2 linked regions of the Rhinolophus ferrumequinum genome follow. The protein of the gene in region 1 purifies or fractionates together with the protein of each later gene. This does not show direct contact. Links are inferred from orthologs where the notes say so. Each region holds a gene or a part of one and is shown on either strand. Other genes may lie near its edges.

What was found. The genes of interacting proteins can lie anywhere in the genome.
Region 2: the proteins of CAPN1 (region 1) and CAPNS1 purify together in Homo sapiens (co-immunoprecipitation; 4 studies listed by BioGRID and IntAct, counting the BioPlex papers as one, with this or other methods). This does not show direct contact. The link is inferred for Rhinolophus ferrumequinum from reciprocal best matches to the Homo sapiens genes CAPN1 and CAPNS1.

The regions. Positions count from the first base shown.
Region 1 is NC_046294.1:6,445,211-6,452,651, forward strand, and holds the start of CAPN1 (calpain-1 catalytic subunit), read right to left. Parts: upstream 3,005-7,441; 5' UTR 2,373-3,004; intron 1,893-2,372; exon of another isoform or gene 1,745-1,892; intron 1,095-1,744; 5' UTR 1,094-1,094; coding exon 827-1,093; intron 702-826; coding exon 632-701; intron 367-631; coding exon 248-366; intron 1-247. UniProt on the Homo sapiens protein: Calcium-regulated non-lysosomal thiol-protease which catalyzes limited proteolysis of substrates involved in cytoskeletal remodeling and signal transduction. Proteolytically cleaves CTBP1 at 'Asn-375', 'Gly-387' and 'His-409'.
Region 2 is NC_046298.1:36,387,367-36,394,954, forward strand, and holds the start of CAPNS1 (calpain small subunit 1), read left to right. Parts: upstream 1-4,588; 5' UTR 4,589-4,692; intron 4,693-5,402; 5' UTR 5,403-5,420; coding exon 5,421-5,641; intron 5,642-6,595; coding exon 6,596-6,629; intron 6,630-6,901; coding exon 6,902-6,991; intron 6,992-7,160; coding exon 7,161-7,218; intron 7,219-7,311; coding exon 7,312-7,376; intron 7,377-7,588. UniProt on the Homo sapiens protein: Regulatory subunit of the calcium-regulated non-lysosomal thiol-protease which catalyzes limited proteolysis of substrates involved in cytoskeletal remodeling and signal transduction. Essential for embryonic development.

The sequences.
Region 1 (7,441 bases):
TACTCTTCCAAGCACTTTGTCCCCAATACACATAACCACCCAGGAGAACTGCCAGCCAAAATACCTGCCCAGCCATTTCATACATGACGGATCCAAGATGGCACCCAGAGGTCAAATACTTTCTAGAGGGAGGGTTGACCCCTGCAGGGTGTGGCCCTGAGGCCCCCTAACTTCAGACTGCAGTGGGTCATCAGTCCTTACCTCCTCTAGTGCCTGCTACCACTCTCTCCCCCACCCTGTTCCTCACCTGGAAATGAAAGATACCGGCATAGCCATCCTGGAAGCTTTGGCCATGTGGAACCACTCGGTGCAGGAGGGTGTCATTGAGGGTGAGAGAGGCAATGGCAGCCAGGAGCCAACAGTCCCCTGGGATGGGAGACTCACATCAGGTTGCTGTACTGAACTGCTCCTGGTGGGGCACATGCGTACCCATGCTGGGGAGAACCCGGGGATCCCTGGGAAGTATACCCCTCAACTTACGGAAAAAACCCAGGAATCTGGGCAAACCAGCCCCAACACTGATAGCCAGAGCCTGCCTGGGCTTGCAGGAGGGAGGGGTTGGGGCAAAGCCAGAAGGAATGGGCATGGGGAACTCCTATGGAAAAAACATCCAGAACCCCTTAGGGCCTACCCAGCGCTCCCTGGCAGATATCTGTGCGGGTGGCTCCATCCACGATGAACTGGGGGTTGGAGAGCATCTCCTGCAAGAGACCCAGAGTCCTGTCTCTGGGCCAGCCCCTCACAGAAAGTGGAACCCAGCCACCCCACTCCCCATTAGGGACCTGGAGTCCTGTTCCCATTCCTCACCCAGGGTAGCCCCTCTCACCGTGGGACGCTTCCACCTGATGCCATAGGTTTTGGAGGAGTTGGGGCCCAGCTCCTTGAAGCCCAGGCTCTGGGGCACTGGGGGAAAGGCGTCATCACGGAAGAGGGCCCCACTCTGCAGACATTGAGCCCGCAGCTGCTCGTAATCCTGGCCCAGGTACTTGATGGCGTTTTCATGGCGGCCCAGGCCCAGCTCCTTGGCCCGCTGCTTCTGCACTTGTGCAGACACCCCAGTGCAATACACTGGGGTGATAAACTCCTCAGCCATGCTACAAGACAGATGGGTCTGCTCAGAACTCAGGCCTTCCCAGGACTAGAACTCAGGGGGCTCCTGCCTGCCCCTGCCTACCCTTCCTCCCTAAACCTAGAACTCAGGACTCGCCACTGGCCTCTGCTCCCAGGAGAGGGGCTTTCCAAGCTGGGGTTGTGCTGGCCACCATCTCCCTACACCCACACAATGCTACCACCTCTCCTTTCCTAGATGCTTACTGTCCTAGGCCAGCCAGCTAGGTGGGGCAGGGCTGAGCTCGGGATAACACAAGGAACCGGCAAGGTGGGAGATCTCAGGAAACGCCTCTGACCGTTTGCCTGCCTGCAATCCCCTCATACTAGCCAAGCTCCTACCCACTGGCCCCTTTCCCTGGCTTTGGGGCTGAAAACGACAGGCAGTCAGGGTCCCCTCCCAAGCCCCTGAGACAGGTTGGGTGATCAGGGCACGGGGCCTCATTCTTTTCCCCTCCCGGCTTTCCCCCAGCCCAGCCTTTAGAGGCAGCTAGGGCAGGCTCCTGGGCTGTAGGGCTTCAAGGGCCCCCGCCCCTGTACCCGGCGGGCGCTCAGAGAGCCCAGGGCAGGGGCAGCCTCTCAGCCCGGGAGCAGTGGCCAGGATCGGAAATCCTGGCCCCGCCACCCAGCTCCTTACCTGGAGGAGGAGTGTTTTGGGGGGTCGCTGTGGTCCTGCGGCTGGCTTCCCGGGTGGCAGCTCAGGGCAGGGCCCAACCAGGAAGAGCGCTCCTCCCCGCCCTCCTCCCGCTGCCCCTCCGCCCTCCTCCCTCCCTCCTTCTTCTTCTCCTTCTCCTCCTCCTCCTCCGGCTCCTACCCGCTTCCTCTCTATCTCCCTTATCTCTGGGGCACCTTCTGTATCTCTCTTACTCACGGTGTCTCCCTGCCCCTCCCTCCGCAGGCCCACGGCCAACTCCGCGAGGACAAATTAGTAAAAGGCAGAGTTGTCCCTGGGGAGGGGCCAGCGCCTGTTGGGTGGGGAAGGCTGGGGCCGAGACGGAAGGGCACTGCGGGGGGGGCAGGGCAGGGCAGGGGGTATTTTTAACCAGGGGCAGCAGCTCGAGTTGCAGGGCCGGGCGGCCCCACCCGACACTGCAGCCCTGGAGGGCATTCCCGGGCGCTGGGCCGCGGCGGCAACGCCTCTGGCAGCCCCCAGCCTGTCCCCCGCCCCTTGGGCTCCTCCCTTGGGCCCCTCCTCCACACGGCCACAGCCATCCTTACCCCCCACCCCCACCCCCAGTGGGTCCCCAGCGCGGAGCTGAGATTACCTCCGGCGGCAGCAGCTGCTCGGCGGAGGGTCCGGGCTGGCGGTGAGTGGACCCCTGCCGGACGCTCGGCAAACGGCAGCCCCACCTGGCTCGGTCCGCTCTGCAGCAGCTGCAGCCGGCTTCTCGTGCGGGGCCGACTCCCCACCCTGGCTACCTGGGGAAGAGGCTCCCAGAACCGCCACTCCGACTTAGCGGCTCCGTGAATCCGGGCCGGGAGCAGGAAACTGGCCCCCTAGGCCGCGCCTTGTTGTATGACCTTGGGTGAGTGCCTGCCTCTGTCGGCCTTGGCTTCCCGGTTCGTGCAGCGAATGGGACGGAGGTGAACAACTGTAGGGGCCCACTTTCCTCTTGCGCTGTGGGGTTTCTTAAACCGGCAAACTGCGAGAGGCAGACATCCTCCCTTTTCCCCTTAGCCCTCGACCCACTCTCCTGGGAGCGCCCATGTGTGGTCTTACCCTGGAGGGGGCGGCAGAGGCTGCGAGCCGGACTGTAGGCCCACCTAGAACGGGAGATCCTGCCTACGGAACTGTAAGAAGTGGAAGAGCTAAGAAAAGAAATTGGGGGTTGGGGTACTCCTGTGGTTCCTCCTCTTCAGGTCCTTTCTCTGACTTTGGGGACACTAGCCTAGCCGCTGTTGTAGCTCTTACAGGATGTGTACACAAATATTTTGTTGGGCAAACGGTGCATGGCTCTCAGGATTTTACGACCTGTGACCCCAACAAGGTTGAGCCACTCATCTAATCTGACCCCACTGTTGCTCCCAGTTTACATATGAAGAAAATTGAGGCCTGCGAGGGTGTGTCTCGCTGAGCTACCTCACCTGGTGAGTCAGGGCCGGAACCAGCTCCTGGGCAGTTTGCTTTTCACAATTCAGCATTTGTGTGTCCAATAGTGACTAAACCCTTCTGGCAGGTCTTTGCACAGCAGACACCCATGACTAGGCAGACCAGCCCCTGCTGGGGGAGAGGGCTCTCCTGGTCCAGTTTTGGGGATTAAGAAAAATAATTCCTGATGGACAAGTAGGAGTTAACTACCGTGTTTCCCCTAAAATAAGACCTAGCCGGACCAGCAGCTCTAATCAATCTTTTGGAACAAAAATTAATATAAGACCGGGTCTTATCTAACATAATATAAGATAAGACCGGGTCTTATATTAATTTTTGCTCCAAAAGACACATTAGAGCTGATGGTTTGGCTAGGTCTTATTTTCGGGGAAACACGGTAGGTAGTGAGGTGCTGGAAAAGGTGTCCCTAGCAGAAAGAACACCATGTGCAAAGGTCCAGAGGCCAAGGGCACACATGCCAATGAGGGAAACTAAGTATTCCTTCCTTGTGATTAGATCACAGGGAGCAGGGGCCTGGGAGAAGAAAGATGCTCTGGACAGATGGTAGCAAAGGTTACACCTCCCGCCAAAGCACTCTGGCTCAAGCTATCTGTGCCACAATCCCCAGAATTACTTTCATAAACCTGTCACTCCTGACTGCATTCCATTGTTCATCAAATGGGCACTTACCACCTCATATGTGCAAGGCACTGTGATCCCCTGGGCATAAGAGAGTGAAGACCCATGGCCTCGGCCCCCTCTGAAAGAAGCAGAGAGCAACTCAATTATTACCCCAAATTACTTGGGAAGAAGATTTGGTACTAAGGAAGCGCATACCTGCATCCCTATCTAGTGTAGGGGTTAGAGTAGGCATAAATCAGACACAGGGAGTTATGGCAGGAGTGGGGGAGATTGCCTTGGCACAGCAGAACAGAAATATGCTTAGTGTTGCTTGAGTAAAGAGAGACAAGGCTGAGTAAGTCATGGGAATTTAGATTTTATTCTACTTGAGGTGGAAGACTGCTCAGATTTATATAAATGAAGGAGGAGAATGCATGGGAGTGGGTTGGATGGGGTGAGAGTGGAAGTAGGGAGTCCAGATAAAAGACCAGGGAAAGAGAATGGTTGGCTCAAACTAGGGAGGTGGTGGGCACAAGAGAGAAGTAGATGGATTTGATAACTATTTAGGATACACCATATCAAAATATAACTCACACTGGGTTATACACCTAAATGTAAATGCTAAACCTATAAAGCTTCTAGAGGAAAGCATAGGCAAAATACTTAATGATCTTGGGTTTGGCAAAGATTTCTTTTTTTTTTTTTCCTTGTTTTTTTTTAAAGATTTTGTTGGGGAAGGGGAACAAGACTTTATTGGGGAACAGTGTGTACTTCCAGGATATTTTCCAAGTCAATTTGTTGTCCTTTCAATCTTCGTTGTGGAGGGCACAGCTCAGCTCCAGGTCCAGTTGCCCCTTGTTAGTTGCAGGGGGCACAGCCCACCATCCCTTGCGTGAGTCGAACTGGCAACCTTGTGGTTGAGAGGATTCGCTCCAACCAACTGAGCCATCCGGGAGCTCAGCGGGAGCTCAGCGGCAGCTCAGCTCAAGGTGCCGTGTTCAATCTTAGTTGCAGGGGGCGCTGCCCACCATCCCTTGTGGGACTGGAGGAGTTGAACTGGCAACCTTGTGGTTGAGAGCCCACTGGCCCATGTGGGAATCGAACCGGCAGCCCTCGAGTTAGGAGCATGGAGCTCCAACCGCCTGAGGCACCGGGCCAGCCCAAGATTTCTTAACTATGATACAAAAAGCACAAACAATACAAGAAAAAATTAAATTGAACTTCATAAAAATAAAACACTTGTTCTTCAAAAGGTACTATTATGACAATGAAAAGACAAGACATAGACTAGGAGGAAATAATTGAAAAAATTATATCTGATGAAGGACTTGTATTTAGAATATATAAATAATTTACAACTTAAAAATAATCCAATAAAAATGGGCGAAAGATTTGAACAGACATTTCACCCAAGAAGTTATATGGATGGCAAATAAGACATGAAAAACTGCTTACCGCATCATTCACTGGGGAAATGCGAATTAAAACCACTAGAAGGACCACCATTACACATCTACTAGGACAATTAAAAAGACGGACTATACCAAGTGTTTGCAAGGAAATAAATACAGGAGCTGGGACTCTCGTACGCTGCTGATGAGATTTCAGAATGATATTCCCAGAATGACCACTCTGGGAAACAGTTTGGCAGTTTCTTAAAAAGTTAAACATATAGTCAGTGATAAGTAGAAATGAGCTATCAAGCTACAGAAAGGTGGTGGGACCCCAAATGCATATTGCTAAGTAAAGGAAGCCAGTATGAAAAACGACATACTGTATAATTTCAACTACATGACATTCTGGGGAAGGCAAAACTAGAGATAATAGAAAGAGCAGAGGTTGTGGAGGTTCAGGAGAGCAGGGGGGGATAAGTAGGTGCAGCACAGGACATTTTTTTGGGTAGTGAAACTACTCTGTATGATACTGTCACAAACCCACAGAATGTACATCAAAAGGGAACTCTAAGGTAAACTATGAACTTTAGTTAATAATAATGTATCAGTATTGGTTCATCAATTGTAACAAATGCATCACACTATTGCAAGATGTTAATAATAGAAGAAAGAGTGTGCGGGAGGGAGAGGGGAATATATGGGAATTCTATTTTCTGAGCAATTTTTCTGCAAGCCTAAAACTGCTTTAAAAAATAAAATCTGCCTTAAAAAAAGAAAGAAAAAAAATGCTAAACATACACTTACCATATGTCCCACCCATTCTACTCCTAGGCATTTACCCAAGAAAAATAAAAGCAAATGTCCACATATTAGTAGCATAAATATTAGTAGCAGTTTTACTTGTAATAGCCCAAACGAGAAACAAGCAAATGTTTATCTACAAACTGAATGGATAAAAAAATTCTGATCACGTATATATACATATACATATAATTACATATATTAGAATACTACTCAGCAATAAACAAGAACAATAATGGATGAATCTCAGAATAATTTATACTGAATGTAAGAAGCCAGACAAGAGTACATACTATATAATTACACTTATATGAAAATTGTAGTAAAAGAACACCAATTTAGTGACAGAAAACAGGTCGGTGATTGCCTGGGGGTGCTGGCAAGTGGGAAAGGGTGGGAGGGAGTGATTATCAAGGGCTTGAGGATACTTACTGCGGTGATGGATATGTTCATTATCTTGCCGATGGTAATGGTCTTATGGATGTATACATGTCAAAAAATGTACCTTTTAAAATGTACATATACATGATTTCTTGTATGTCAGCTTTGCCTCAATAAATTTGTTGAAAGCACCAATATGACTTAATCACTCGTTAGATATGACTTTTGGCAGACAGGGAGGGATCAAGGACAACTTTAGATCCTTGATCTGGCTTGACCCTTGTCCTGGGGGGGGACTCACTAAGTTGGGGGACAGTGGAGGATCAGATTTGGGGGTAACATTGGGAGCCACCCAATCCATGGGGAGATGCTTGAGATGGGAACAACCCTCAGAATAGAGGTACAAATTTGGGAGTCACTGGCCATTGGTGCCATCTGAAAGAAGTAGAGGCCAGGGGACAGACACTTTATTCTGAGTATAAAGATACTTCATAAAGATGTCAATTCTCCTTAATCTATAGATTTATTACAGTTAAAAATTATTACAAATTTTTTTGGTGGGGGAGGAATAGAAAAGCTGATTTAAAGCTCATATGGAAAAGTAAACAAGCAAGAATAGCCAGGAGACCTGAAAATAAAGAGTAACAGGTAGAGAGTAACCCTATCCAATTTTAAAACAGAGCAAATCTATAATAATTAAATGTAATAATGAAATAAGGATACTGACACACATAGGTCATAGGAAGATAGAAAAATCTAGAAATCGATCCAAATACTTGCAGGAATTTAGTACATGATAAGCATAGCATTTCAAATCTGTTGAGAAAAGATAGGTTTTCAATTAAAAATGTTAGGAAAATAGGAGGGAATTTTGTATGTGATAAATTCCAGATGAACTCACAATTTAAATATAAAAAATTAAAACAAAAATACAGCCAGGAGCTAAGGAAGAAGCTTTGTTAGTCATCTCAGTGTAAAAAGGTCTTAATTGTCGCACAAACCCCAGAAGCCACACACAAAAAAATTGATTTTACTGTATTTAAAAATC
Region 2 (7,588 bases), on another chromosome or scaffold:
GCTGCTTTTAACTGAAGAAACTTTAGAACTCAGTGGCTTAATAAGTCTATATTTTAATTCACACTACAGTCCAATGTAAGTCAGTGGGGTCACTCTGCTCCACAGAGTCTAGCAGAGACCCAGGCTCCTTCCATGTTGTGGCTCTGCCCACCTCTAGGTCCTCAGAGTCCCCTCTGTTGAGCCCATGGATGTTGAAAAAAGTGAAGACCACTTGTGGGAGGTTTTTAAGGTCAAGCCTGGAGACTGGATATGACACATCAGCTCACATGCCGTTGGCCTTAAGTCGGTTACATATCCATACAAAATTGCAATAGATGACGGGAAATGTAATTCTTGTGTGGAAGAAAAAAGGGGAGCAGTTTTAGTCAAGCAATTAGCCAATCTCTGCCACATATTTTGGGACATGCTTTATCTGAAAATAGAGAAGGGTTACATTGTTTATTTATTTCCTTGTTTATTGTGTGTCTTCCTCTGCTAGGACATAAGCCCCGGGAGTTTTGTTCACCACTACATCCCCATCACACATCTGGGCGCCTGGATTTAGTAGGCACTCAATAAATGTGTGTTGAATGAATGAATGAATGAATGAAAAAAATTCTAGTAACTTTCAGAGGATGGAATATTATGAAAACACAAAAAATTATATTTTTAGGGACATGGGAAATTGCTCTCAGGGTGTATACGAGTATAATAAATCTCTTTCTTTCTCTCCCTATGGCCTGTTAGTTCTTTCTCTGGAGAACCCTGACTAATACACCATTGAAGGGAGGGCAGAGGAGGTACAGTAATCTGGAATAGTCATCACATAACTATTTGGCATCAACCATGCTTGGGTTTAGACCTGGCTCTGCCATGCCGCAGGCAAATGACTCCACCTCTCTGAACCTCCACTTCCTCTCATGTTAGTTCCTTTTTCAGAAGGTTGTGAGAGGCCTTCCAAGACGTACCTGTAAATTACTTATTCTAATCTGGTCCCATCAAGCCCTCAGGAGGCATTAGTTAGGACAGTCATGACTATTGTGAGTTTCCTACTTGGTAGCATTGTAACATTAATATAATTGAGGCAGCAAATTGTGAGGATTAAAAGCATGAGCTACAAAGCCAGCTTTCCTGGGTCTGAATCTTGACTCTAGTATTTATTAGCTGTGTAATCTTGGACAAGTAATTCCATTTTTCTGGTTTCCTCATGGACATCATAACAACATCTACTTGCAACAGTCAGAATAGGCTAGGTTACACTGTGGTAACAAATGAGCCCTAGATCTTAGTGGACTAACACCTCAAAATTTATTTCTTGCTCACAGAAACAGGCACAAGTCCTCCATGCCATGGCTCCGTGATCCGGGTAGCTTCCTTTGTGCAGCAGCTCTGTGTTTGCATAGCTCTCCCAAGGTTGCCTAGGAAGGAGGTAAGAGCCCGGAGCATCCTGCACTGGCTTTAAATGCTACACTGGGAAGTGACACTTCCAACATTTCCACTCACATTTCATTGGTCAAAACAAGTCACATAACCATGCCTGAGTTTAAAGGAGTCCGGAAGATGGTGGAAGACTTTAGTAATGCTTGCTGTACTATCTCATTGACGGTGCTGAAAATTCAATGAGAAAATCCACACAAAGTATTTCATACATTCAACAAATACCTATGTACCTAAGATGTTCTGGGCACTGTTCTGGGAACTGGGTACATAGCTGTGAACAAGACATACAGAAATCCCTGCCCTTGAAGAGCTCACATTCTAGTGGGGGAGAGAGACAAGAAACTAGGTAAATAAGTAAACCACTCAGTACGTTAGCAGGTGATAAAGAGCAGTGTGGAGTGGGATAGGGAGTGTGGGGCTTCCTGAGGTCACTAGATGTGCATACTTGAGGCACTGAGGTGGGGCTAGAGAGGGCCTTGGTAATGGAGTAGCGGCCCCCTGCTTAGACATTGATGTGCTGGCAGAGCCTCCTCCTCTGTGTCTTGTCCGTGTTCAGCTGGGAACATCCAGGTCAAGCTGCCAGTAGGGCTTCTTCCCACTTTCTTAAGAGGGAGGAGATGAGGGCAGAGAGGAGACAGAACAGAGCACTAGAGACTTGGTGCCCATGGTGAGGCCTTTGACTCTTATCTGGAGTGAGGTGCAGTCTAGGAAGGGCTATGAGCCAGGTGGGCCCTGACCTGACACGGGTTCACATGCTCCCTTTGGTTGCCTGTGGGGAGCAGACTGTGGGGACAGGGATGTGAGCAGGAGACTGGGGAGGAGGTGCCCGTGAGGTCCAGGAGGCAGAGGATGGAGGTGGGGGTTGGGGAGGAGTGGAGGAGGAGAAGAGTTTAGATTATGTAGGTAGAGTCGAAGAGGTTTGCTGATGGGTTGGAGTGGGTGTGAAAGAGGTCAAGGATGACCCTGGGGTGTTTGGTCTCAGCCACTGGAAGGACAGAGATGCCATTAACCTAGGTGGGGAAGGTGGGGAGGAAGCAGGTTTGGGAGGAAGGTCAGGAGCTGTTTAGGATGTGTGAAACCTGAGGCACCTCTAAGACCCCTATACAGACGGTGAGTAGGATGCAAGATATAGGAGGTTGGAGACGCCTGGGCTGAAGATAGAAATTTGGGTATTGATAGCCTAGGGATGGAATTTAAGCTACGCATGTGAGGGAGATCCTCTATGGCTTCAGTGGGTTAGAGAGGTGGACCAAGGCCTAAGACCTGGAGTTGGCCAGGGTTAAAGGTCGGGGACACAGACCTGGACCACAATATGATTGTAATTGGCAGTGAGTGCTAAGAGAAAGAACAAGTTACAAGCATGTAACTGGACGCCACACCTACTCTCAGATGGGGGTGGAGACAGGGAGGGCTTCCCAGGAGAGGTAACACCTCAGCTGACACCCAAAGCCTGAGGAGATACAAAACCAGGTGAAAAAGGGAGAAAGTGTTCCAGGTAGATGGCACAGTCCATATTGAAGGCCTGGCAGCAAGTGAGCCCTGGAGAGGGCAGAGAACAGAAGCTGCTCAGTCTGGCAGGGAAGGGTGTGGTGAGACGGGAATCTGGATTAGTCATCACCAAGAGTTTTGGCATGAGCCAAGCCTAGCTTCAGACCTGGTCATGACACCCTCTGTGACCTCAGGCAAGTGACCCTGCCTTCAGAGCCTCCATTTTCTCTCCTATTAGTTCCTGCCTCATAGACAAGGCTTGTGTAGGAGTTCCTTGACCTGGCCCCAGCAAGCCCTCAGGAAGTATTAGCTGTTGACTGTGGGTTTTGTCTATTTTGATCTTATCTGAGCTATTTTCATATTAATTATATTATTGAAGAATCAGTTCATTAGGGTAGTGGTTACCAGTACGAGCTAGGGAGTTTAACTTCAGAGGTAGTTTACTTATTTGTAAAATGGAGAGTGTGTAGCATCCATCCCATAAAAGTTATGAGGATATATGAGCTGATACATGTAAAGTGGTTAGGAGAGTGCGTGGCAGTTATTTTTATCAGTATTATCTAAGGATGAGCAAGAGTCAACCAACTGAGGAATCCAGGTGAGCAGGAGGGAAGAGCGTGGTTACAGACACAGGATAAGAGCTACTATTTACTAAGCTTTAATCACTTAATTATGATAGGGGCCTTGTGAGGGGGCCATGGGAAAACTTGTTCCCATTTTACAGATTAGAAGATCTTTGCGTAGAGACTTCAAATCACTTTTTCGTATTTCAGTTATTAGGGAGCAGAAGCAGGATTCAAACAAGCCTAGCCAGCCTCCAGGGGAGAGGCTAATGGCCAGATGGCCAGACTGCCCAGTAGCTAGATTTAGCTCCTTCTGAAGAGCCCTGAAAAAGTACTGGATGTGCACAGGTTGGAGTCTGGAACCGGAGAGCAACAGAAAGGATTCTAAAGGCAGGTTGAGTTACCACTTTCCCTACGTTTCTTCATTTCGCGCCCATCACCCGACTTTGGGAAGGGTAGCCTGGGACACCAGGTCTTGGCCGACACTCTTCCTATGTCCGGGCTCCACTTTAGAGACTGAGGTGACACTTTGGGCCTCTTCAGGAAAAATTATTCTGGTGACCCTGACTTGGGGGTGAAGGAATGCGGGTGGAGGGCACAAGGCCGCTTTCTTAGGCGGCGAAGTCCTACCCGCAGTCTGACTACCATCCTGGCTACTACAAGGTCCGGGAAAAGCTAGTCTACCCTTAGTCATTGCCAGATGCGGATGCTTGTTCCCGGACTGTGAGCCAAATAAAACTCGGGGTCTTAGGATGTTGTCTGTCGCAACAAGGCCAGGATAGGGGCCGGGTGCCAAGAGTCCCGTTTCGAGCCGACAGAAAATCACATCTGTAGCCGGGTGGAGGCCGGCTTCGGGGCGACCATTCCCATTACAACCTGCGGTGTCACTCTGGAGTTCTCGTCCCCGGGTGTCTTCACCGGGCTGGCGAGATGTAGGGACAACCTCAGACCTATGAAGTCACGGCCGGGATACAGCCCGCGGCGCCGGAAGAATGCTGGGCTGGGCCCGGGCGGTCTCATCCCGTTAGCAAGGCCGGGCCCGCGCGCGCAGGCGCAGTTTCAAGGACCGCGCTAGGACCGCGCGGATGCTGTCTGGGCGGCCCCCGAGAGCCTAACCCGGTCAAAGTCGCCTGAGTCACGGGCCCCGCCCTACCAAGCCGGACACAGCCAGAGGCCCGGGAGCAGCGCAGAGGAGCGGACCAGCGGACGTGTAAGACAGGCGGTGAGCGCCCGGGCCAGACCCCCCTGTACTCCGTAATCCCGGCCTTTACGGCTCCCAGACCCTACAAGACCCTAAAGTCCCGGCTAGATCCGTGCTCCCAGTTCTAATGGAGAACCCCGTTATCCCGGGCCCGGGGCTTACACCCACCATCTTGGACCGGAGCCCACAGACCCGGCGGTGACACTGTAATCCCGCTGCTGGGAGTACCTAAACCTTCAAACCCACATCCTGGATTTCCCAAACCTTGTCCCGGGGGCCTCCAGGCCGAGAATCTGATCCACGCCCCTGAACCGCCCAAGACCCTTAGTTCAGTTCTTGGGCTCTGGGACTCAGATTTGGGCGTCCAGACACGTCCAGGATGCCTTATACCAACTTGGGACCCCCGAGAACCCAACCAGACCTGGACCCCTACCCTTAATGATGCCTATGTGTAGACTCAATCCAGGCCTCTCAAGTCTGACCGGGACCCTTTCAGTCTGGAGGAGGTTTCATACTTGATCCTCTGTCCCTATCGCACCCACCCGAGAACTGCTCTCCTTCAGAAGCCCAGACCCCATCCCGAATGGACTCTTCAAGCCCCAGCCGGAAGATTGGTCCTCCCCTAGAGGCCTCATATTACTGCCTACGTCCAGCTGCCAGAAATGCGTATTTTTGTGGGGAGGGGGCGGGCTCTGGGCGAGGAGGCCAGCTGACCCCTTTTTCCTCCTTAGGAACTTTGAGTCGTAGCCATGTTCCTGGTTAACTCGTTCTTGAAAGGCGGCGGTGGAGGGGGAGGCGGAGGCCTGGGCGGGGGCCTGGGGAATGTACTCGGAGGCCTGATCAGCGGGGCCGGAGGCGGCGGCGGAGGCGGTGGCGGCGGCGGCGGCGGCGGCATCGGCGGCATCGGCGGCGGCGGCGGCGGTGGTGGAACTGCCATGCGCATCCTGGGCGGGGTCATTAGCGCCATCAGGTAGGGCGGGGCCTGAGGGGGCGGGGTCTGGCGGAGGAGGCTTGTCCGGGAAGAATAGAATGGGGTAACCTGGAGATTGACCTGGAGCCTTAATTAGGCTGGGCGGGACCTGGGCTGGGAGGCCAGCCTTGAGGGGGCGGGCCCTAATGAGGCTGACCGCAGTTTATGAGGGCGGGGCTTGACATGATTTTTAGGGAGACGCGATTGACTGTTGATGGGTCCCGGCAGGGGTTTAGGAGGTGGGGCTTAGGGAGGCTGGATATCGCCTGCTTCCGCTAATCTGGAAACGAACGTTAAGGGGGCGGAGCCAGTGAGGCTGGGTGTCACTTCGTGGGGGCAAGGCTTGTCAAGTGGGCTTGGTGTGGACTTTTAAGTGGATAAATGAGAAGTTGCGCCCTGAAGAGGCCGAGGCCTACTGAGATAGGAGAAACGGTTTTGAAGGGGCACGGCATTACCGGAAACTGGCTGGATTAAAATAGAAAAATGTCGTAGTGGAAGTAGGGCAGGTTGTCTAATTCGCCTAATTAGGGACCTAATTAGTCTTGGCCACTGAGCAGTGATCCCTCGAAGGGGCAGGAAATAATGGGGCTGGGGTGGGATGTTGGGAAGACACAAGCATTCAGGAAGCCCTAGGGATGGAGTAGGTTCCTAGACAGACATGGAACCTGAGGAGGGCGGGGCCCCGCGAAGCTGGGGCAGCTTTTATAGAGTACGCCCTTCAGGGGGCTGGGTCTATTGAGGAATCTTGGTAGGAGTGGAGCCCACCGTAGGGGGCTGAGCCTGTTAGTTTCCTCGCAGGTGCAATCAGGGCAGCAAGGATAGGGACACGTGAGGACAAGGACAGATAAGGCAGGCCAAGGGTGGCAGGCTGGGGTTTGGGGAGGTTGAGGTGTGGGGGCTGGCGCTGCCAGTTGGACGCCCCGCCCCCTGGCGCTAATTCCCGTTTCCCTCCAGCGAGGCGGCTGCGCAGTACAACCCAGAGCCCCCGGTAAGCCGACCTCCACAACTGATGACTTCTCACTAAGAGGCCTTTTCCAGCATCCCTCCATGTCCCTTTAGAAAAGCCCCTCTCCCTCTTATGATATCCCTCTTACTAAGTCTCTCCCTTTCCATGTCCTCAAACTTAGCTATTACCTACTCCCTGTTCACTGACCACCTCTCATTCCTTTGATCACTCAGCTACACTGCCCACTCTGACTTTCCCACCTAGGCCTGTACTGCCCCTCCCCTTACTTGCTCTGAGATCTTCTCCCTCTGTAGCCCCCACGAACCCATTACTCCAATGTCGAGGCCAATGAGAGTGAGGAAGTCCGGCAGTTCCGGAGGCTATTTGCCCAGCTGGCTGGAGAGGTAAGTAACCCGGGGTCCCCAGACCTGTCCTAACCCTTCCATGCCTTCCCTTGGATGGCCCTTGCACATACACACTCAACCATGGCAATCCAAAAGTTCCTATCCTCCTTCATGACACTCCTAGACCCCTTTCAGTCACCCCTGATCTACCCCTAATTTCTCCCTGCAGGACATGGAGGTCAGCGCCACAGAACTCATGAACATTCTCAACAAGGTCGTGACCCGACGTGAGTGACTAGGGTCAACCCATAGGGCAGGTTTAGAGGCATGGCAGCTGGGGTAGCTGTGACCTCTGGCCTCTGTCAACCTGTCCCCTACAGACCCAGATCTGAAGACTGATGGTTTTGGCATTGACACATGTCGCAGCATGGTGGCCGTGATGGATGTATCCTTAAGGGCAGTATGGGAGAGGCCTTGTGTGAAGAGGGAGTTTTCTGCGAGCATGAGTGGGAGCCAGGATGTAGCTTTCATAAAAAGTGGAAGGATAGGAATTTGGATTCAGGTCTTCGGGGCTTAAGAACCCAAGCTTATTATAACTGCCATAGGTATGTGCACATGCGTATGTGTGCCAGGGTACACCCATATGCGTGAAGATAT